Linked DNA regions of Macaca mulatta. The protein of the gene in region 1 interacts with the protein of each later gene in a pairwise test. Links are inferred from orthologs where the notes say so. Each region holds a gene or a part of one and is shown in the gene's direction. Other genes may lie near its edges.

The links.
Region 2: the proteins of KRT40 (region 1) and ZNF202 interact in binary tests that used the Homo sapiens proteins (3 or more experiments, as listed by UniProt). The two-hybrid records come from large-scale screens. The link is inferred for Macaca mulatta from reciprocal best matches to the Homo sapiens genes KRT40 and ZNF202.
Region 3: the proteins of KRT40 (region 1) and MXI1 interact in binary tests that used the Homo sapiens proteins (3 or more experiments, as listed by UniProt). The two-hybrid records come from large-scale screens. The link is inferred for Macaca mulatta from reciprocal best matches to the Homo sapiens genes KRT40 and MXI1.

Annotation. Positions count from the first base shown.
Region 1 is NC_133421.1:65,358,116-65,365,294, reverse strand, and holds the end of KRT40 (keratin, type I cytoskeletal 40), read left to right. Parts: intron 1-1,093; coding exon 1,094-1,255; intron 1,256-1,334; coding exon 1,335-1,460; intron 1,461-2,921; coding exon 2,922-3,142; intron 3,143-3,648; coding exon 3,649-3,748; 3' UTR 3,749-4,593; downstream 4,594-7,179. UniProt on the Homo sapiens protein: May play a role in late hair differentiation.
Region 2 is NC_133419.1:124,353,325-124,361,518, reverse strand, and holds the start of ZNF202 (zinc finger protein 202), read left to right. Parts: upstream 1-2,501; 5' UTR 2,502-2,644; intron 2,645-3,650; exon of another isoform or gene 3,651-3,791; intron 3,792-3,934; exon of another isoform or gene 3,935-4,066; intron 4,067-8,194. UniProt on the Homo sapiens protein: Transcriptional repressor that binds to elements found predominantly in genes that participate in lipid metabolism.
Region 3 is NC_133414.1:122,395,813-122,403,906, forward strand, and holds part of MXI1 (max-interacting protein 1), read left to right. Parts: intron 1-894; exon of another isoform or gene 895-1,109; coding exon of another isoform or gene 1,110-1,182; intron 1,183-1,580; exon of another isoform or gene 1,581-1,703; intron 1,704-1,789; exon of another isoform or gene 1,790-1,835; coding exon of another isoform or gene 1,836-1,851; intron 1,852-1,972; exon of another isoform or gene 1,973-1,991; coding exon of another isoform or gene 1,992-2,013; intron 2,014-2,186; exon of another isoform or gene 2,187-2,669; intron 2,670-3,075; coding exon 3,076-3,208; intron 3,209-8,094. UniProt on the Homo sapiens protein: Transcriptional repressor. MXI1 binds with MAX to form a sequence-specific DNA-binding protein complex which recognizes the core sequence 5'-CAC[GA]TG-3'. MXI1 thus antagonizes MYC transcriptional activity by competing for MAX.

The DNA of each region.
Region 1 (7,179 bases):
TGTTGATGTTTGTAAATCAAATTTGGGCAGATGTTGCTTAAGCTGGAATAAAACTACTCCAGGCAGGGCCAAGCGTGGTGGCTCATGCCTGTAATCCGAGCACTTTGGGAGGCCGAGGCAGGTAGATCACAAGGTCAGGAGTTCGAGACCAGCCTGGCCAATATGATGAAACCCCATCTCTACTAAAAATACAAAAATTAGCTGGGCATGGTGGCGGGTACCTGTAGTCCCAGCTACTCGGGAGGCTGAGGCAGGAGAATAGCTTGAACCCAGGAGGCGGAGGTTGCAGTGAGCCGAGATCTCGCCACTGCACTCCAACCTGGGCAACAGAGCAAGACTCCATCTCAAAAAACAAACAAACAAAAAAGCGGAAAAACTACTCGAGGCATTATTACTATTCAACCTGATCATTCCAGCGTGTCTCTGAATTAACATGTGAAATAGCCCCTAGACAGTGCCAGACAAAGGAACCAAACTCTTCTCCTGCCCTTGCCTTTGTGGAGGAGGTGAGTAACTTCACAAATGGCTTCCTTTGGAGGCTTTATGCCACCCCTAGCTCCAATCCACAGGGTATGAAAATCAGTCTGAGAAACAGACTATGAAGTCCGTTTCAAAAAAGGGATAAGGACTCATGCACTATCTGGACCAGTGTTTTTAAATATTCCGCATTTATAAACTTTTAAAAGTCATAAAATATAAAGTGATTAATACAGTGATAAAGCTAGAAAATGAAAAGCTGAATGATGTAACAAAGTACGTTTGCTCTTTGAATATTTGTTGATGACAATCATAGCTAACATTTATTGACACCTTACTATGTGTCATAATTAACTTTTATAAGTTAATTATGTGTAGATTAACTCTTCTAGATCTCACAATAACCTTCTGGAAAAATGTCCGATTATTATGTCCATTTTACAGACGAAGAAATTGAGGCCCTTCTAAGTGGTGAAAAGAGATTCAGCCCAGACAACCTGAATCAAAATCTCACACTTTTACCTACTACTCCACAAAACAGAAGTAGAATGCCATTGGATGTCAAATGGATTTTTCCCCATCATTCTGTGACATCTTTATGCCATCCCACTTTCAGGAAGTCAACTTGCTTCGTGGACAGCTTGGCGACCGCCTCAGTGTGGAGCTGGACACTGCCCCCACCCTTGACCTCAACAGGGTCCTGGATGAGATGCGCTGTCAGTATGAAACGGTGCTTGCCAACAATCGCAGAGAAGCCGAAGAATGGTTTGCTGTTCAGGTCAGCACCCAGATCGAAAAAATGGCAAGGTTACAGACTTCCGCCTTTTGTGAATTCTCTAATGGTGCCTGTGTTTCAGACAGAAGAGCTGAATCAGCAGCAACTGTCCAGTGCGGAGCAGCTGCAGGGCTGCCAGACGGAGATCTTGGAATTGAAACGCACAGCCAATGCTCTGGAAATTGAGCTCCAAGCACAGCAAAGCCTGGTGCGTGAGGCAAAGGCAGTGTCCGTTATGTCACTGATAAGTCAGGCTCTGAGATGTTAAGCCCTCTTCCATATCCAGGGATCACATTTCCTTGCCTTTCCCAAGTACTGCCGTTTACCCAGTATTAATAGAAGCAGAAGTGACAGGTCCACAGCTTGTGTTGTCCCTCTAAGATGCCTTACCTTCACTCCTGGGCTTGAGTCTGATGCTGCAGCAGCCTCCAGAGACAGGGAGGGAGAAGCAGAGCGAGAGAAACCTCCAGGCCATGGTCACTTAAGCATTCCAGCAGGTTTTAATTCTCATTTGATTCAGGCCAGTTTTCCAGGCTCACTGTTATATCTAAAACAAAGAATCATTTTCAAACATTTCATCCTACAGTTTCCCTACAGGATCTACACTTCAACCTGATCCTTCACTGTACCCCACCCCACTCAAGCAACAAGAACACCATGCGTCCAAGATGACATGAACCAGTTCTGGTCAAGCACCACTGTGTGCATGTCATTAGATCCTGCGGAGAATACCTAGGAGAACAATAGCTGAGCATTCATCCAGTGAGAGGCACTATGCTCATTTAAGCCTCACAGTAACTTCACGGGATAGATACCTTTATCCCATGACACAGATAAGGAAAACTGAGACTCAGATTAAGTAACCTGCAAAGGATGCAATTCTAAGAGGCAAACTTGGAAGCTGAGTTCAGCCAGTTGAATCCCAGAGCCTCTTCTCTCTCTCTTTTTAAATTTATTTTTATTGATATACAATATTTGTAAATATTTATGGAGTAGATGTGCTATTTTGTAACATGCATAGAATGTGTAACGATCAAGTCAGGATATTTACAGCATCCATCACCTCAAGTATTTATCATTTCTACGTGTTGGGAGCATTTCAAGCCCACTCTTCTAGCTATTTTGAAATGCACAGTGTATTGTTGTTAACTGTAGTCACCCTTCTCTGCTGTCCAACATGAAAACGTATTCCTTCTGTCTAGCTGTATGTTTGCACCCATTAACCAACCTCTCTTCATCCCCTTACCACACACATGCCCTTCCCAGCCTCTGGTATCCAGAGCCTCTTCTCCTAACAGCACTATACTACCCCTCCCTGCCAAGAGCCCAAACTCAATCTTTCCTCTCATATGCTGTTGATAGTCCTTAAGCTTCACAAATAAGTCATGTATTGCTGTAGTCATAGTGGTGGTAGTGATAGCTGACATGTAGAACAGTGGCAGTACGGCTGGCACTGTTCTAAATGCTTTACACATATTAACTCTTAATCTTCACAACCCTCTAATGAGACAAATACTTTGCATATAGAGAATAAAACTGAGACTCACAGAAGCTAAATAATTTGCCAGTGGTCACATAGCTAGAAAAGGGTAAGCAAGGATTTGAAAATAGGCACTCTGGCCCGAGAGACTGCACTTCATGGTCCTTTGGACAATGTTTCCTCCTGCAGACAGAATCTCTGGAATGCACCGTGGCAGAAACCGAGGCCCAGTACAGCTCCCAGCTGGCCCAGATTCAGTGCCTGATCGATAACGTGGAGAACCAGCTGGCCGAGATCCGCTGCGACCTGGAGCGACAGAACCAGGAGTACCAGGTGCTCCTGGACGTGAAGGCCCGGCTGGAGGGCGAGATCAACACGTATCGGGGCCTGCTGGACAGTGAGGACAGCAGGCAAGTTCCACAGTTACTCATGATATCCCCCAGAGTCACAAAGAGGCTGATGTAAAAGAATCCTGTTTCCCCAAGGTCTGGACAAGTTCAAACCTCCCCAATGTGCTCAGGGATCTTCTTAAAAGAGGGCTGAACAGTGGCTGAGGTTAAGCACATGACACTAGAGATATTTTTAAAATATTATAAAGGCAGATTAATTATTAGTGTAACATTTCATACTGGCATCTCCCTTTGTTCCTGTTTTCCACTAAAGGAAAATCAGGAATAGGCCTGAGATAACATTTGCAAAATCAAGAAAAAATATAAAATTCTATTCAACTGCCACTGCTACAGTGAACATGAAGTGGCAATTCTGGGTGCGGAGAAGAAACAGGCTTCAGTCAATGCTATTGTGCAGAGTTTTTTTCAGAACATAATTTGTGGACAAACTTTGACATGGTTTGTCTGAGTTTCCATTTTATCAAGATTCCCTTGCTAAGCTTGGTTTAACATCAATTTTTCCCCAGGCTTTCCTGTAACCCATGTTCGACCACATGCACCTCGAGCAACACTTGTGAGCCATGCTCAGCCTATGTCATCTGCACGGTTGAAAACTGCTGTTTGTGAATGTTAAGGACAGCAGGTAGAGGAATCAAAGCCGGCAGCATCCTAGAAAGGAGATGGGGCTTCAACAGGGGCATCCAAACAGGAATCACAAATCCAGGGGACGCTCATATCCTGGAACTGCCCTCCAGGTATCCTCAGTCTTTCTGCTTTACTATTTCCTCTCCTTCCGGCTTATTTGTGGTATGCTGGGAGCCCATAAAGTGTTCTTGCTCATCTCCAAATAAAACATGTTTTACTCCTTTCACATGGTAAATATAGCTCTATGGCTGATTAGTGTTGATAGAATATTCATTTTATGGCAAGAGAATCATCTAAACCCATAACCATAGTTTCAACATACAAAAACCCAGGTTGAAAATATTTTTTAACTCCTCAAATACAAACACATTAATGAACCCATGCAAAATGTCATATATCTTAGAAAACAGTTGTGTGTATCTTTCTGAGAAAAAAATTAGGAATAGAATAATAAATTGTATTTTTTTATTATAAAAGTACTAGATTCTCTTTTCTGTAATTTGGCTGATTAAAAGGGAAAAGGTCACTTATGATTTCATCTTGCAAACAGCCATAGTCAATATTTTGGGGTACTTTCTTCTGGTTTTCTTTCTTATGATAGATTTTTCCACACAACTATAATCATACTAACATATGCACACACTTGTGTAATCTTTCTTTCATTTATGTCATCTAAGCATTTTTAATTCTAATCAAAACATAAGATTGTATTGTAGCCATTTTTTGTTTGTTTGTTTGTTTTGTTTTTTAATTTGAGGCAAAGTCTCCCTGTGTCGCCCAGGCTGGAGTGCAGTCGCGCTATCTCGGCTCACTGCAACCTCCACCTCCCAGGTTCAAGCGGTTCTCCTGCCTCAGCCTCCCGAGTAGCTGGGACTGCAGGTGCATGCCACCACGCCAGGCTAATTTTTCGTATTTTTTTTTTTTTTTTTTTTTAGTAGAGACAGGGTTTCACCATGTTAGCCAGGATGGTCTCGATCTCCTGACCTTGTGATCAAGGTCCTTGTGATCCGCCCACCTCAGCCTCCCAAAGTGCTGGGATTACAGGCATGAGCCACCGCACCCAGCCTGTAGCCATCATTTTAATGGTTGCATAATGTACCATAAGGTGCATTGATCTGTTATTGGACATTTAGGTTATAAGAATAATTATTCTCATACATTTAAGAGACAAGGTAGAGAACTTCCAGAATGATTCTATTTCCATATTCCTCCTCCTAAAAACCCTGGAAATTACATATCGAATAAACATAAGAAGACTCTGAAAGGTAGAAGAAGAAGCCAAACCACCTAAAGATATTGAGACCCCAGGAGTGACACTGTGGTGGGCTCCCTGGATTAACTCTTTATCTCATAAATCCCAGAGTGGGAGCTGGACAAACCAACAACCAGAAACACCAATAGGTGCAGACAAAACAAACAAACCAGAAGAGCTTGCTCTGCTTAAAGAACCAAAAAAGAGGCAGCCTAGAAAGGCAGAAAACCTTTAGACAACAACCACTCAACTCAGCCAAACACCACCGAAAATACCATTTTGCCCACCCATATCCACACCAGAAAAGGCCAGGGAGGGAGTCCAGTCTTCTATCCTTCACAGGCTGTAACAAGGCACTCAAACTTCCCCACTGGGGTGGAGTCAGGGAAAGGTAAGTGAGAGATCCAGGACTTTCATTCCTGCTAAGAGACATGGAAGCACCCCCGCCCCACCACCATGGTGTCAGTGGAGACCACACGGGAAGCCTGGACTTAACTCTACAGGCTGCAGTGAGGCTCTTCTTTTCTCCTCTGGGGTTTAGTGTCACAGGAGGCCTACTGGACAGTCAGGACTCTCTCCCTCCTCCAGCAGTACCAAGGCCACCCCCCATGCAGTGTCAGCTGCATGGGAGCAATAACAAGATATTCTTGCCCCTCCTGGCCCGGGTGGTATCAGCAGAGGCCAGATAAGAGTCTAAAATCCTCCCTCCCAGCCGTGATGAGGGGGGCTCTCCCCTTGGGTGTCAATAGGGGCAAAGTGGAGAGAACCTCTATTTCTAATCCCACCTGGTAGGAATGAAGCAGTGTCCCCCGTCCCCTACCAAAACAGTGTCAGAGGAGACCTGCCAGAACAGAAGATTAAATAATATCCTGAATCTCATAACATAATGCCCCAATGTCCAGGTTTCAATCAACAATTACTCTTCATACCAAGGATCATAAAATCTCAACTTACATGAAAAAAGATGATCAACAAATTCCAACATCAAGAGGAAAAAGATGTTAGAATGAACGGACAAGGGTTTTTAACTTTTTATTTTTTATTTTTCTGGGTACATAGATGTATATATTTATGGGGTACATGAGATGATTTGATACAGGCATGCAATGCGTAATAATCACATCATGAAGAATGGGGTGTCCATCCCCTCAAGCATGCATCTTTGGTGTTACAAACATCCAGTTATACTCTTTTACTTATTGACAAGCATTTTTAAACAGTCATCACAAAAATGCTTCAATAAGCAATGCTTCAATAAACTCTTATAACAAATGCAAAAACTGAAAAGTCTCAGTGAAGAAGAAGATGGAAAGACTCCAGTGGAAATTTCAGAACTGAAACATACCATAGAACCAAAATAGAAACCTCAGTGCAGATGGGCTTAACAGCAGAACAGACAGGCCAGACAGGAAAACATCAGGGAATTTGATGATACAATAATAGACATCATCTGACCTGAAAAACAGGAAAAAAAATAGTGTTAAAAAGATAGAGTCGGCCAGGCGCGGTGGCTCACGCCTGTAATCCCAGCACTTTGGGAGCCGAGGTGGGCGGATCACGAGGTCAGGAGATCGAGACCATCCTGGCTAACACGGTGAAACCCCATCTCTACTAAAAAATACAAAAAACTAGCCGGGCGAGGTGGCGGGTGCCTGTAGTCCCAGCTACTTGGGAGGCTGAGGCAGGAGAATGGTGTGAACCCAGTAGGCGGAGCTTGCAGTGAGCTGAGATCCAGCCACTGCACTCCAGCCGGGGAGACAGAGCGAGACTCCGTCTCAAAAAAAAAAAAAAAAAAAAAAAGATAGAGTCTCAGGGAACTTTATGGCTATATCAAATGATCTAACATTCATGTCAACGGAGTTCTGTAAGGGAGGAGAAAAAGTGAGGCCAAAAACATTTGAAGGAATAAACACTGAAAATTTTACAAATATGGCAAAAGACAAAAACCTACAGATTCCAGAAACCAAGCAAACCCCAAAAATTATAAACCCAAAGAAATCTACACCAGGAAATATCATATTCAAACTTTTGAATACTAAAGACAAAACAAATTATGAAAGCAGTGAGAGAGAAATGACACCTTACCAATAGAAGAAAACAATTTAATTGATGGCAGGTCTGTCACCATAAACCATGGAAGCCAATATGAAGTAGGACGACA
Region 2 (8,194 bases), on another chromosome or scaffold:
CTAAAAATACAAAAATTAGCTGGGCTTGGTGGTGCATGCCCGTAGTCCCAACTACTCAGGAGGCTGAGGCAGGAGAATCACTTGAACCCGGGAGGGTGAGGTTGCAGTGAGCCGAGATGGTGCCACTGCACTCCAGCCTGGAGGCAGAGCAAGACTCCATCTCAAAAAAAAAAAAAAAGTCATTAGGGTTATCCATTCACAAAATCTCTTTTCTTCGCCAAACTTGTCAGGCTTCTGAAACTCCTCCTAGGGCTATTGGTGTACTTCCTTGTAAGATCTAATGTTAGCAAAGAACTCTAAGTCCTTTAGCAGGAACTCCCCCATCCTTGATATCTGACCATCTTTAATACCTGGTCAGGGTCCTCATCCTCCACCATCCCACAGGTGATATCTGATCACCCTGACCTGTCTTCAGCAAGAATCCCATTAGGTTGACTTAGCCAGAATCCCCCTTATGCCTGATGGTTCCCCTTAGTAATTTTCAATCCATTGGCATCCCAAACTCCAAAAAAATTTCCTTGACTATAAATTCCCACTTGCCCATTCTGTATTTAGAGTTGAGCCCAATCTCTCGTCCCTACAGCAAGACTTCATTGCAGTGGTTTACCTTTCCTGCTCCTGAATAAGGTCTCCCTTACCATGCTTTAACAAGTATCACTGAATAATTTTTTCTTTAACACTGTAATGCAGCAAATGTTTAGAAGAACATGTTTATGTATTATTTATGCACTTAATACTAATATTTTTAAATATTCAATGAGATTTACAGAGAAAAACATTTGGTACCCAGTAGGCTTTCATGAAATGTATATTTCTCTTTGTATTGGGTAATTTTATGTGTCAACTTGACTAGCTAAGGGATGCCCAGATAACAGGTAAAACATTATTAGTAGGTGTGTCTGTGAGGGTGTTTCTGGCCAATATGGTGAAACCCGGTCTCCACTAAAAATACAAAAAAAAAAAAAAAAAAAAAAAAATTGCCGGGCGTGATGGCGCATGCCTTGTAATCCCAGCTATTAGGGAGGCTGAGGCAGGAGAACTGGGAGGCGGAGGTTGCACAAGACTGTCTAAAAAAAAAAGAGAGATTACATTTGAATCAGTAGACTAAGAAAATCACTCTCACCAATATGCGTAGGCACCATCCAATCCATTGAGGGCCCAAACAGAATAAAAAGGCAGAGGAAGAGTAAATTCACCTCTCTCTTCTTGAGCTGGGATATCATCTCCTCCTGCTTTCTGGCCTTCAGACACCAGCACCTCAATCTCTTTCCGGTTCTCAGGCCTTCAGCTTCAGACTGAATTATACCACCAGCTTCCTTGGTTCTCCAGCTTGCAGTTAGCAGATGTCGGGACCTTTCAACGACCATAATCATGTGAGCCAATTCCTTATAATAAATCTCCTTTTATATGTTTATACATACCCTGTGTGAAAGGAAAACATCTTGGGCCCCCAAAATCACTAAACTAAAGGGAAAATTCAAGCTGGGAACTGCCTAGGGCAAACCTGCTTCCCCTTCTATTCAAAGTCACCCCTCTGCTCATTGAGATAAATGCATATCTGACAGCCTCCTTTGGAAGGGCTAATCAGAAACTCAAAAGAATGCAACTATTTGTCTCCTATCTACCTATGATCTGGAAGCCCCCCTCCCCGCTTGGAGTTGTCCTGCCTTCTGGGTTCACACCTATTAGTTCTATTTCGCTAATACACTCCCACTTCACCAAAAGTAACTAATCCTTTGGTTCAAACCCAGAAAACAGATCCCAGCAACGTGTCCCATGAAAACGAGGTGGCACATGGCACGTGGAGAGTGGTGACTTACAGGGTAAAAGGGACGAGAGCAAAGGAAAATGTCAGGTATGGGCAGAAAGGTCCCCAAAAGACAAAAACGAACAAGTGAGATCAGGTAAGACAGCCTGAAAGTAAAGAAATACGAAGCAACACTCAAAGGGAAAGAAAGAACAGTGATACCATAACTATTCTCTTTCTGAGCTTCTGATGTTCCATTCAGTTCATGGGCAATGTATCATTTAGTCCTCAGAGTAAACGGTATTATTATGCCCATTTTCTATGATGCACAATAGGGTTCAAAGATGGAGTGATTCGGCCGAGGCCCTGCTGCTGATGGTGAATGCAAGAGCCGGTATTCAAACCTAACGCTGCCCTTTTCTACCATGCTGCAGCGGACAATGCAAAGAAAAAAAAATATCAAGAAAAACACGTAGAGGTATCCAAATGAAAACAAACACACAAAAGATTAAAAACAGAAAAGAAAAAAGAAAACCCTTGCAGAAGGTATGCGTGTAAATGAAAGGCCCAAGATGTTAATTTATTCGCTGCAGAGTGGAGTTGGGGGCCGCGGACGGAAGCTGTGGGGTCCGAGGCTTCTTCGCACTGGGTCCTTGGGGAGTACGAAACCGCAGCCCGCGGAGGGCGCATAGAGAGGACCAAACCTCCCACAGCCTAGAAAGGCTCCAGCGCGGCAAGAAGGCGGGGCGAGCGATCGCTTCCGGTTCCGGACGCAAAGGCCCCACGTGTTCCGACCCGCTAGGCCCCGCGCGGCTCGGATCCGGCGGCGCTATTTCGGTCGGGAGTGGGTGGGAGAGAAGCCGGGGCAGGGGAGGAGCCGCTGGAGCTGTCGGAGCCGTGAGTCCTGAGTGGGCTGGGCCGGGCCGGGCTGGACCGGGCCGGACCAGATCGGGCAGAGCCGGGCAGGGCGGGGAGGAGGGGGAGGGACCGGAGACCCCGCCCCCCAGAGCTTGGGGAAATCGCCGTGTCCTGGGGAAGGGGTGGCGGCGGTGTACTGAGGGGGCCGAGACGTTGTGGTCTCTGTGTTTCCTGGTGGCCGGAGCCAGTGTCTCCGAGGACACGGATGGCGCTCCTGGCTTCCTTTCCTTTCCAGCCACCGCCCTCCGCCCCCTCCTGGGGCCTGCAGAAATGTAGTTAGTCCGTACCTCGTACCTCCTAACGCTTCCGCGCCAACTGTCCCTCCGGAACCGGGGGAAGAGTGGTCTAGGCCCCTTTATTTTCCGCAGCCTTTTCTTACCCCTGGTCATATTGCTTAAGATCGTCTCCGCGCGCTCCTTGCCCCGGCGAGCCCCATCTCCTTACACCACTAAGCCCCTCTCAGCCCCCAGCACACACTCAGATACATTCAACCATGATCTTATCACCTGTGATGATAGTAGTCCTTGGCGTCCATTTGGCCAGTGGCTTTTCAGCTGCCACTGTGACAGACCCTGAGCTTCCCCTCAAGCCAGTAACTGCTGTCTCCTCTTGCAACTTTCCTCTCCTCCCACTCCTAACAGCCAGTTTTGGCACCTCTTCTCAGCACCAGCGTTACTTTTAGCAGGGGTATACCTACTTCTTGAGTGTCTTGACTAAAAGTTTGTTAGTTTGTGTGCCATGGATAGGCTGCGTGCCTTCAAAAAGGTGTCAGTCTAATTTTTATTTTTCTAAACAATGAATGTTCTCATCTAGGCCCTTTGATAATCCTGTCTGCCTTGGGATCTGTACTGACCTCCCCAAAGGGAGACTCTTAGACCCAGCCTTTCTTAGACAACCTTGGTCCTGGGGAGCAGTGCCACATCCCAGGCTCTCACTTAGAGACTGGGCTTAGAACTGTTGCTTTTTCTCTATCCACACTCTGCAGGTGACACCCAGGGCAGCTACACTCAGAAGTCACAAGGAATGCTAGTGGAGCCCCTCATCCCTCCCAGCTTCTCTTCCAAGCTGCCCGGTGGGGCTTGATCCAGGAAGCTACTTCAGAAAGGTTGTGGGATAGCCATGGGAGGTTTGTTGGTGGGAAGCGTGTGAATGCGAGCAGTCTTGGATAACTTTTTGCTGTTACTATCTAGCATAAGAGGGTGGGCAGGGTTGGAGAGAGGACAGGAATTATTCCTCCTGGGACCAGACACCTGGGATTCATAATCTTTCACCCTTTCTCCTCCAGCTATACCCTTTTTGTACTCTGTGTATATACTATATTGCAGTAGACAATCATTCCAAGGGTACAACAAGGTTTACTACAATGTGAGGGACTCAGCCATTGCAAATTGTACAGATGAGGTAAGTTAAAGGTTTACATTTTTTTCCCCAGTAAATTTGGCACAGATTTAAAAAGTGAAACAGTTCTAGACCCCTTGCTTTTCCTGTTCTCTCACCAGCAAACCCTTTAATTTGGCCAGCAATGGCTTTCTGCATGAACGCCAGATTCACTTCATTTGCTAGGTGGTGGTTCTCAAACTTACTATAAGCGCCTGAAGGGCTTGTTAAACACATATTGCTGGGACCCAGCCCTAGAGTTTCTGGTAATAGGTCTGTGCTAGGGCTTGAGAATTTGTACTTCTAACAAGGCTCAGGTACTGATGCTGCAGATCTGGGTTCTTCACTTTGAGAACAACTACCTTTTGGCCAAATGTGATACATATTGCAGTAGGTTGGGGTTCAGAATACCTTTGAGTACTTCTGTGTTAGAAACTAGTAATCCGATCTTTTGTGGATAATCACTTAGGTCTGAATATTTTGTTCGCAAAATTAAGAAAGCGTACCTAAACAAATGCTATATGCCAACTTTGAGGTGAAGTATTGATGAGTTCTTCCCCTTGATTTTCTTAATTCTCTTGATAGGGACCTCACATTTTGATCGTATATATTACATCGGGATTCTGGGCTGTTGCTGTGAATTCCTAGTATTGCTAAAAATCCTGCTATTTCTTAACTACCTGTTAAGTTCCTCAAGGTCGGAGCTTCTGCTTTTTTTAATCTTTCTCTGCCCAGTACCTTGAATAGTGTGGGACACATAATTGACGCTCGGTAGATATTTCTGTATTGAACTCCATCCCTTGTCCTCCTCCCTTCTTGATGTTTTTCTCCACTGACCTTATGCTACACAGTAAAGCAGGGCATGATTATGCCACCTGATTACCCCCAAGAGATTGGAATCAATGCTAATGCCAAATTCCTATAGCTATCCCTGTGAATGGTTTATTACCCCGGAGCCCTGACACCTGCTGATTTCTGAATTTTCAGTGCTTCTGTAATATGTACAAGTTGGGGGAGGAAAAATAGAAAGCGTAATAAAACTCAACATGCATTTATTGAACACCTTTTCTACCAAGGGCTTGACAAAGTGGTAGGCACTGGGAATATAAAAATGACTAAGGAGACCCTTGCTCTCAAGGCCAGGGCTCACAGTGGGAGACAGACGTTAAGCCATGCTCACGCAAGAATGGCTTCTGGGATTCCTTCTTTGGATCATGATTTAGTCTTCAGTGGAAACCTGGTGCTCCTCAGCTTCCTCTGGTTCAACAGGCAGGGATCCCATCCCTTATCGTCTCCTCAAAGTTAAGGGAGCCTTGAGGAAAGCCAGAAGGAAGTCATCTAGATGTAGAACAGGGGATATCCACACAGGGTGTGTTAATGACAAAGCTAAAAACATAGTAAATGACTTTTGAATTTACTGCCGTTATGAATTATCTATAGCAACGCCTCAGGTCAGCTCTGTTGTATATGTTATTTCCAATTAAATGATGGTTACTCTGACTATCTGATTGGCATTGATCATGTTCATTGTAGGAATTGCATACATCTAGTTTAACTCTGGCTGTCAAATGAGAGCACTTGCTCTCATCAGGATTGGTGTCAGGTTTGATGTCCCCTCCTTTTCCTGCTTCAGGTTAATTTGTGATGTTCTGTTTTAAACTGAGGCATATAGGGTGACCTGCTTTATTTAGGCCAGTAACTGCTTTGGGGTAGTTTTCCTGAAGTTTAAAAAGCCTAGGTTCATGATGGAGGTTAACCAACATGACCATGATGGACAGGTGTATAAATCTGACCTCCTAAAAGTCTGTATTTGAGGCTGAGTGCAGTGGCTCACACCTGTAATCCTAACACTTTGGGAGGCCAAAGCCGGCAGATCACTTGAGCCCAGGTATTTGAGACCAGCCTGGACAACATGGCAAGACCCTGTCTCTGCAAAAAATTTAAAAATTAGCTGGGTGTGGCGGCATGTGCTGTAGTCCCAGATACTCAGGAGGCTGGGGTGGGAGGATGGCCTGAACCTGGGAGGCAGAGATTGCAGTGAGTTGTGATCTTGCCACTGCACTCCAGTCATAGCAACAGAATAAAACCCTATCTCAAAACTTAAAAATCTTTATTTGGCCCCTAGCTCTCCTCAACTCTTGAATAAATCTCTCTCAGTGTCCTAGGCTGATACATTATGGCCCAGATATTCAACAGAGATAGTGTATATCCTTGTTCCTCTCAAAACTCCTCCTCATCAGCATCAAAAAGCTGGTTCAGTTTTCTACCTTTAGATAAAGAATCAAACCAAGATTCAACATGAGCTGCTGTGACTTGTCCAAAATGACACCTCTTTACAACGTAGAGCAGGGGACAGAACACAGGTCACCCTCCCCCAAAGGCAGCTATCTACTGTCTAACATTGCCTCCTAGGCCTGCCATATATAACCATCAAAAACATTTTAGTTAAGAATAAAGTGAATTGTACAATTTTTATTTTTCATTTTTGTGTTTACATTTACTCTCAATGACATGTTTATTCCCACCTAATATCTTGAGGCTAACCACAAAATCTGCAGCATTTCCAGGCAGAAGATACTTGTGTCTTAGTGTCCGCTGACTTCCCTGTACCACCTACTACATACTTGACCTCTTTTTCTTTCTTCCTATCTTCCCTTTCTCTATACCTTATTCTCTTTCTTTGGAACCTATTGTAACAAGTTTTGAGCCATTTCTCCCCTCGCTACTCAAATATCACTTTTATGAAGGGGGAAAAAAAAAAAACTTAGGTGGCAAAAATATATTACAAAAACAGTTTTAAACATGGTCTGAAGCATACTGGTCATGTGTTAGAAGGCCAAAAGCCAGGGAATTCACTCCCTTTCATTCCTTGTGCCATCTAGGTTAAGTTTTCATAGGTCTTCTTGGTACACTGAGTTTGCCTCAGATTGTCTCCTGCCAGTTACAGGGAGTGGAGAGGGTTTTGATATATTGGTAATTAGAAGCATTGCTGATATGGTCTTCGGTGGGAGAATGTGTGTTTAAAGTTCCTTCTCATCTGTATTCCAACACTTTCATTTAATCCTACTTCATAAAGTGCCTCCAAAGCAAGGATTGTTTTTTTGGTTTAGCGTGGTTTCTTTGATATAACAATAGACAGATCAAGATTTTCCTTATGCCATCTATTTTTTTGTAATTATGATGAAGTAAAGAACTGTTTACTTGTTTATCATTTAAATCTTGCCATCTTCCCAGAAGGATTTCAAATAGCTTGAAGGAAAATGAATAAAATATATTGAGCACCTACCCTATGCCAGACTCTATGCTGAAGGATTTCTATAGGTTATTTCATTTACTCCTTAAAACAACCACATGAGATAGGTAGTATTAGTCGCATTTTTGGGGATAAGACTGAGGCTTAGGGAAATTGTGTTACAAGGCTAATGAGCAAGGTCAGGGATTCAAACCCAGTGTTCCAAGGTCCCTAACTGTTACGTGGAAAGCTTAGATAAGCGCTTGTATATAGGACAATTAAGAATAAAAGAATATCTCCATTAGAAGGATTGTACTGGGCTAATCTTTTGTTTTAAAGAATAGCAGCAGCATTGGAAAAGAGCGGTTAACAGTTTTTATTAGTCAATGTCTATTCTAGAACACTGAGAGGAGCGGTTGACAGGCTCTGGTTAGCCCTAGCAAGTAGCCATATTAAAATTCCCACATTATAGGCCTGCATTAAGGTGTAAAATAAGAATGGGGACTGGAAGGGATATAAATATCTGCTAAATATAATAATTTCAGTTCTAATCACTGTTTTCTTCTGAAGATTATTTTCCAGTAAATAGGAAGATCACTGTCTCTCCTTTAGGTTGACAGTATATGACTACAGACTTTGTCATTTAGGGTCCAGAAAGATCACCCTAGCTAGTAGCATTTTAAGGTACAGAACTAGATATTCTTTCATTGCCTGTGGTTTTCTGTTCTCGTAAGAGAATTGACCGTGGGTCTTCACTGCCACGTGATACCTTCAGATAAGGGGCAGAGACAGCTGGCCTGAGGAGTGTATGAAGGTCTTACCTTCATAGCTCCTCTCCAATCTTGTGCATCCTAGGAACACTCAAGACACTAGGTTGTATCTTTGCAGATATTGTTTTAGTGTCTTCTGGAACCAAGTCT
Region 3 (8,094 bases), on another chromosome or scaffold:
AAAGCCCTACTGAATACATGAACCTCGAGAGCAGGTCTGTGTCTGTTTCTCTTTTACTATGCACACTAAGTCTAGTACAGTGCCTGGCACATGGCACGCGCTCAAGGTCGTGGCTATGATCATATCCATTTTATACATAAGGAAAATGAGACTGAAAGAGTTCACACTGTCAGTGTAAGTAGCAGAGTCAGGATTTGAATCAAACTCTGTTCAGCACCAGGGAGAATTTTCTGGCGTCTAAAAACATTAGTGAGGGACTGAGGGAGGAGAAAGTTTTTAAAAGTAAGATAACTACTTGTCTGTGTGCAAGCTGAGGTGGAAGAAGGGCTTCATGGAAACCCTCTCTGATGAAATCATCCCTCGTTTTTGAACAGCAATTTCGGCTTTTCCAGTTTCTGTGTGCGCTGTTGGTGCAGGTGTGTTACTCTTCTCATTTTGCAGATGAGGAAACTGAGGCACATACGTTACATGAGAAAGTAGGAGATAAACGACTGCAACATGATATTTGGAATAAAGCGTGTCTCAGCCCCTGGGCAACCGCAGGGAGTCGCTGAGAAACAAGTTTCCCCGGGAGTAGACTCCCAGCTTGCTCAAATCCTTCCCATTCCACATCGTGTCTGGAGGGGGAAAAAAAAATCCTTCCCTCCCAGAAGCAAAGTCCCACAACTACTTAGGCTTCCCTAGAGACAGGAAAGGAAACCCAGCGGGACTACACCTTCCGACGAACTTTGCGAATCGTGCGGAACGCAGGCGCTCTGAAACGGCGTGCGCACTACGATTCCCGGCAGCCGCGGGCGGGGGCGGGACTACATTTCCCAGGGGGCAGAGGCAGGGGCGGGAGGGGGCGGGCCGCGGCTCTGCTCCCGCCCCTCCCCCGTGCTCGCGCGGAGAGGTAAACAAACCACGCGCGGGCTGCCGGTGGCACGGCGGGCGCGGCTGGCGCGGCTGGGGCGGCTGAGGCAGCGGAGAGCGCGCCGAGCCGCGGCCGGGCTGGCCCGCCCGCCTGCCGCACATGTTCCGGGACGGCGCCTCGCCGTAGCCGCCTGCGGCGCCTCCTGTCGGCCCGGGAAGGGAGTGCAGAGAGGCGCCGATCGCCACCCGCGGTGCCCATGGAGCGGGTAAGGATGATCAACGTGCAGCGTCTGCTGGAGGCTGCCGAGTTTTTGGAGCGCCGGGAGCGAGGTAATGGCTGGGCGCCGCTGCGTGAGCCCGAGCGCTACTAATCTTTATGGGGAGTGCGGTGCGGCCGGTGAGGGAGGGCACGCGTGTGAGGTGCGCGCATGTGAGGGAGAGGGTGTGCGTGCGTGTAAGCGTAGGGGAGCGCGCGTGTGAGGGGTGGGGCGTGTGGGGAGGGGAGCGGGCGTGTGAGGGGTGGGGCGTGTGAGGGAGGGGTGCCCGCGTGTGAGGGGAGGGGCGTGTGAGAGAGGGGTGCACGCGTGACGGGAGGGGCGCGCGTGTGAGGGGGGGCGTGTGAGGGAGGGGAGCGCGCGTGTGATGGGAGGGGCATGTGGGGAAGGGAGCGCGCGTGTGAGGGGAGGGGCGTGTGAGGGAGGGGTGCGCGCGTGAGGGGAGTGGCGTATGAGGGGAGGGGAACGCGCATGTGAGGGGAGGGGCGTGCGTATGTGAGGAGAGGGGTGCGCTCATGTGAGGGAAAGGGCGTGTGAGGGGAGGGGAGGGGCGTCTGCGGGTAGGGGAGCGCGCGTGTGAGCGAGGGGTGCGCGCGTGTGAGGGGAGGGACGTGTGAGGGAAGCGCGCATGAGGGGAGGGGCGTGCGCATGTGTGAGGGGAGGGACGTGTGAGGGGAGGGGCGCGCGGGTGTGAGGGGAGGGGCGCGCATGTGTGAGCGGAGGGGTGCGTGCATGTGAGGGGAGGGGTGCGAGCATGGGGGGTCGAGCATGTGAGGCGAGGGGCGCGCGCATGTGAGGGGAGGGGTGCGCGGGTGTGAGGGGAGGGGCGTGCGTGTGTAGGGAGGGGCGTGTGAGGGGAGGGCCATGCGTGTGTGTGAGGGCAGGGGTGCGCACAAGTGGGGAGGGGCATCTGAGGAGAGGGGCTCGCGCGTGTGCGAGGAGGGGCGTGTGCGGGGAGGGTCGCGCGTGAGGGTGCGCGCGTGGGAGGGATGGTGCGGGGGAAGGGGCGTGTGCGGGAAGGGACGTGTGCGGGAAGGGGCGTGCGCGTGTGGGAGGGGCGCGCGTGCGTGGGAAGCTCGCGCGCGTGAGGTGCGCGTGGGGAAGTGTGTGTGCTGAGATCGTGAGTGGAGGCGTGTGTGAGAGATCGTGCAGGTGCGGGGGGAGGTGCGAGGGTGCGCCCGGAGGGTGGGGCTGTGGGTGTGCGGGGAGCGGGAAGGAGACGGGCGGAGGGGAGTTGGAGAGAGGACGGTCCGGGACTGGAGAGAGGGTGACCATGGAGAAACCAGCAGGGCCTGGAGTGGGAGAGGGTGCTGGGAGTTAAGAAGAAGGAGGAACGCGGATGCTGGGGGTGTCTGGGGAAAGCCGGTGGAGAGTGGGCAGAGGACTGGCAGCGTGCGGAAGAGGCCTCTGAATACCTGCGGGGTGATGAGATAGGGCCCCTTTGGCGGTGGCAGCCCAAGGGACTGTGGAGATGGGGCAGGAAGAGCAGGAACTCGGAGATTGTTGTCAAGAGAGAAAATGTCTCTGTAAGACTTGTTCGAAGTACGCGAAAATATTGGGCTTAAAAGAGACTCTTTAGAACAGAGAGAGTTGAAAGTAAAGGGGAATTTTTGAGTCAAGTAAAATCAATGAAGCGAATGGTAACTGGTCAAAAAATGTTCTAAAGCATCTGAAATCTCAAAAAAAAATTTTGGGGAGAGAAGGATTTTGGAAAAGGGGGATAAATTATTTGGTTTAGAGGAGGTATCAAAACACCTTCCAGCTGATGGGGTGTCACAGGATTGATGTCCAGGCGAGGGACATTAATCTTCTAACCAAAAAGAGTGGAAACATTGTACCTTTTTTTTTGCTTTCAAAAACCTGTTACTGCAAAGACCTTGGATTTGTGGTTCAATGGATTTGGGTACTATATTCTTCTTACTATACCTTTTTTTCTTGCTCTCTTCAGAGTGTGAACATGGCTACGCCTCTTCATTCCCGTCCATGCCAAGCCCCCGACTGCAGCATTCAAAGCCCCCACGGAGGTTGAGCCGGGCACAGAAACACAGCAGCGGGAGCAGCAACACCAGCACTGCCAACAGGTAGCAAGCTGGGAACGCTTAGAAGAGGGAACTGGAGGGAAGGAGCACATTTCTCCTGTAATCCCAAGTCTGGAGGAGCAGCACTTGATGGGTTTCTTTACTACTACCCTGGGGTGGGGATTTGGCCCTTTAATAAAGTCTAGAAATCATAACCTGGTTTTGCATGGAAGGGAAGGAATAGAATCTGGAAAGACAACCAAAGACGTTCTTGCTGGGATTATTAAGATGGCTATGACTGAGAGGACAGTAAGTTGAGAAACTTGAGAAACTTGGCAGCATGTGTCCATGCATGCAGCCACCTGCTAAAAGTAATTGTGGGGTGGCTTTTAATAATCTGGTCAAGTTTAGGACAGTCCAAGAAGGTTAAAAAAAAATCAGAAATAGGTCTGGCAGGATATAAAGCAGAATCAAGGGCTTTGTTAAAGGAATAAAAATATTTAGGTAGAATTGGTAGTGAGCAGGTATGGTTATTTGTTTAAGGAGGAAAGGGAAGACCGTACTATGAAAGTTTTGCCTCTTTAAATAAGATCCGATTGGTTGGTGGGCTCTAAAAGCAAAAATGAAAAAAAAAATCTGCTTATCTTTCAAGCAGAATAGATCTTTTAGAATATACTTGTCTAGATGTACTTGGAAAGGACGGGCCTAGTGGCTCTCACCTGTAATTCCAGCACTTTGGGAGGCTGAGGTGGGAGGATTGCTTGAGCTTAGGAGTTCAAGACCAACCTGGATGACATAGTGAAATTTTGTCTCAAAAAGAGAAAAAAATAGACGTACTAAGATGTAGCTGACTTCCATTTTTGAAAACTCTGAGTAGTATCTGGCTGTCTCTTCAGTGTTTTTATTCTGGGGAGCCAGTAAATTCCTAGGATTCATCTCATAAGAAGTTTTCAAAAGGCCTTTCTTAACAGAAGATTAACAGATGGCTGCCTTTTCCATTGATAAGGGGAATTAAATGAGACCTTTATTTCTGTTTCCCAGAGCTTTGTCTAGAGAGTATAATAAACATTCATTTTAGGGAGGACAGAGCAATCCCTGGGTAACCAAATTTCCCTGAAGGCTTTGGGGAGCTTCAGTCAGGTGGTTGGTTAGTCATTTGGAACAGCAGATTGGGACAGAATGGGGCTCTTGATGCAGAAAGCCTGAGGCTTCTATAGATAACAATTGGAACTCATGAGGTTGGATCATCCCACTCTGTATTTCAGACATCTCCGAGGAAAAACTAGGATTCACTTTTCTCCTTTGACTTCTCCGTAGAGCTGCATGTTCCCTTTTTTAGCTACTTTTCATTAAGACTACTATATAGTTTTTAATTTCTTAGGTTATAAAAATAATTAACCATAAGCTTGATGTACTATATGTGTTATGTGTAGGTCTAGAGATTTTGTTGTAGTATGGTGGAGATGAAAATATGTGGTATGATACACAGCATTTAAAAAAATGTACATTTGCTTGCCCTTACAGTTTCAGTGTTTAAGCTATCAAGAATTAAGACCTATTCAGGAATTTATGTATGTTTCAATCCACATAGATTAAAAAAACTCTTTTTTTCAACTTGGAGACATAGTAAGAGTACACATAGGAAACCAAACCTGAGTTCTGTCATGCTGCAAGTATTTAAGCCTTTCCTATTTTCTAGAAATTAGGTATATAATTTCAGTACATTTCCCATCCCTTACTATATTCATCTGTAAAATGAGATGTATTAGATTCTCACCAAGGTCCCTCATTATCCTGAACTTCTGTGACTCTGATTTATTGACAGTTTTAGAGATTGGTTACTATGTTAGTAATTTAATATGTCTCCCATCATTGCAGATGTGACATTTTTAGGAACTCAAGGATTGTAGAGGCATAAATAAGATGCACATTCCTAGGTTTTTATCAATTACGTTACCTGTCATTAATAAGAAACTCTTAGTCATCTGTTGACTTATACTTTGCTCAGCTTGGGGTTTGGGCTAAGTGATGTTTCTCTTTCATGCTAGCATTTCTGTTAGGATTCTAATATTATGTGTGGGACCACAGTGCTAATTACTGTGTTTTAGCATAGCATGTCGGAAAATTTGTAAAACTGCAAGCATGCCATAGTGTTCTTATAGTGCCCAAAGGAGAATATGTGAACGTTAGACCACCTAAAACAAAAGAAGGTACTTTTATATGGGAATATAAGTAGCAAGAAAGAGAGAGAGAGAAATAAATAGATTTTAGAATGTATTATCAAAAGATCCACAAATGTGTGGGGTTTGGGCTGGGGCCTATGAGAGAGAACTAGTATGTTAAAATGAAAAACTAGAAATTATTTCTCCTTAGCCTCTTATTTAAAATGCCTGCTTCGTGGAATTAAGGAGAGCTGAGGTAGAAGTTCCAATACTGGGGTATTTGGACAATAGTGTTGATCCATTTCAAAGAGGGCTCTGTAGGCTTCTTCTTAATTTTAAGTTTACTGTTGGATTTTAATAGAGATTTTATTATGCTGGTTACATAAAGCAGAAAGAAGACTTACAGAAATATCCATGTGTTTATCATCTGAAACAAGGAAAGGAATAGAGTTCATAAGTATATGTGTCTTATTTTTACCTGATCAAAAAGCTACTAGTGTGGAAGTAGCTTTTATTACTATACATCGTGAACATTGATGTATGTTATAAAATGACATTTGTTTCTTTGACATCATAGCATCTTTAAGATATAATGGTGATTGACTCTTTTACCCCTGATATTCTCAGGTATTATATGGTATGCCTGACAAAAATGTTACTTTAGGCCAGGTGCAGTGGCTCACGCCTGTAATTCCAGCACTTTGGGAGGCTGAGGTAGGTGGATCACCTGAGGTCAGGAGTTTGAGACCAGCCTGGCCAACATGATGAAACCCTGTCTCTACTCAAAATACAAAAATTAGCCGGGCATAGTAGCGTGTGCCTGTAATCTCTGCTACTTGGGAGGCTGAGGCAGGATAATTCCTGGAATTTAGGAGGCGGAGCTTTCAGTGAGCCGAGATTGCGCCATTGCACTCCAGCCTGGGCCACAGAGTGAGACTCCATCCCAAAAAATAAAAAAATAAAAAGTTACTTTATAAATTTATGCTGAAAGTTAACTCCGAATACTATAAATTCCTATTCCCCTTTCCCCCATGCCTTAAAATCTTATTTTCACAGAAGTACAAAGGAGAGAAAATAAATGATATAATGTGATATTACAGATATGTTCCTTGCAAATACCAGTAATTTTATCATTTGGGATGGTTCTGATAGTTGGAAGTGGGACCTATAATATATAATTATTTTTAAAATAAATGCTTGATTTTACTGTGGTCTTGGTCACAGCCTTCTGGCACACTTCCAAAAATCAACATTGCTAAGATGTTACTGCTGTTAGAGAATGTGGCTGCAATAGCTATCTGGCTCTTTGGGGAGCATCAGATAAGCTCAGATTCTAGCTTATTTACTATTTGGTATCACAGGTGAAAAAATCTCAAGGTCTGTCATCCTTAAAACTCTACTAAATAAGCCATGGCTGCAGTGTAACACTGATTTCTTCCTAAATATCTCTTCAATCGGCCTTCTTTCCTGTTATCTTCATTACTGTCCTCCTAATCTCAGCTACCATCATCTCTTACCTGGACGACTGCAGTAACTTATTACCTGGTGTCCTTGCAACCACAGTTCTTTTTTTTTTTTGTTTTGCTCTGTCACCTAGGCTGGAGTGCAGTGGTGTGATCTCGGCTCACTGCAAGCTCTGACTCCCGGGTTCACGCCATTCTCCTGCCTCAGCCTCCCGTGTAGCTTGGACAAAGGTGTCCGCCACCACGCCTGGCTAATTTTTTGTATTGTTAGTAGAGACAGGGTTTCACTGTGTTAGCCAGGATGGTCTCAATTTCCTGACCTCATGATCCTCCCGCCTCGGCCTCCCAAAGTGCTGGGATTACAGGCATAAGCCACTGTGCCCGGCCAGTTCTTATGAATTATATTGGTCAACCTTCTTTGGATACACGTTTTCTTCTACCTCAAGATCTTTGCATACATTCTGTTCCCTGCCGGAAATCATTTTTCCTCCCCCTTTGTTCTCTCTGTTGAACAACACTTTTCCTTCAGCTCGATCATAAGTTCCTCAGGAATGTTTCCTCATCTGTCATAGTAGTAGATCAGGTCTTCACATACTTCATGGCACCCCTATTTTTCCTTCATAGTGTTCATCACGTTTATAGAAATACTGTTATCCAATTCTTTCTTAAATTCGTATCCTATTCACTGGATTAAAAACACTGTGAGGCGGGCAGGGATTGAGTCTCTTCTGCTTCAACATTTATCCCTAGTACTTACCACAGTGCCCCGTACATAGTATGTGTTTCTTAAAGAATGGAAGGTTTTCAAACTCCAAGTAGACTGTCTTAAATTGAGTTTCTTTTTTGTGCTGAGTACCATATTAGACTTGAAGGAAGGATGATAGAACCCCTGCTTTGGCAAACTCTAATTACTTTGTGTTCTAAGGGATGTTAATGATACATTTGGAAAAACAGTATGTAGTATTTAAAGAATAAAAATCTCTAAACTGTCAATTCTTTTAAACAAGTAGGCTACAGAATGCCACAATTTTGAAGAACGTTCAGTGTCATCCTGTTTCGTGAAAATAAAATAATATAAAAACTTGCGTATTGAAAGAACCAGAAGTCTGTCAAATATTGGCAATAAATATTCGTATGAGCCTGTGACACGCACATAGTAATTGCATTGTTTTAAGGTAATCTGGGAAGTAGTAAATAGCCAATTTATGCTTTAATTTCAAGTTGATATATTTCTTCTCTTTAGTGTCCTATAGATACTAAAGAATCTCATAACAGCAGTATTTCAGTTCCACCTTCTAAGATTGAGGACACTAAAAAACAACTT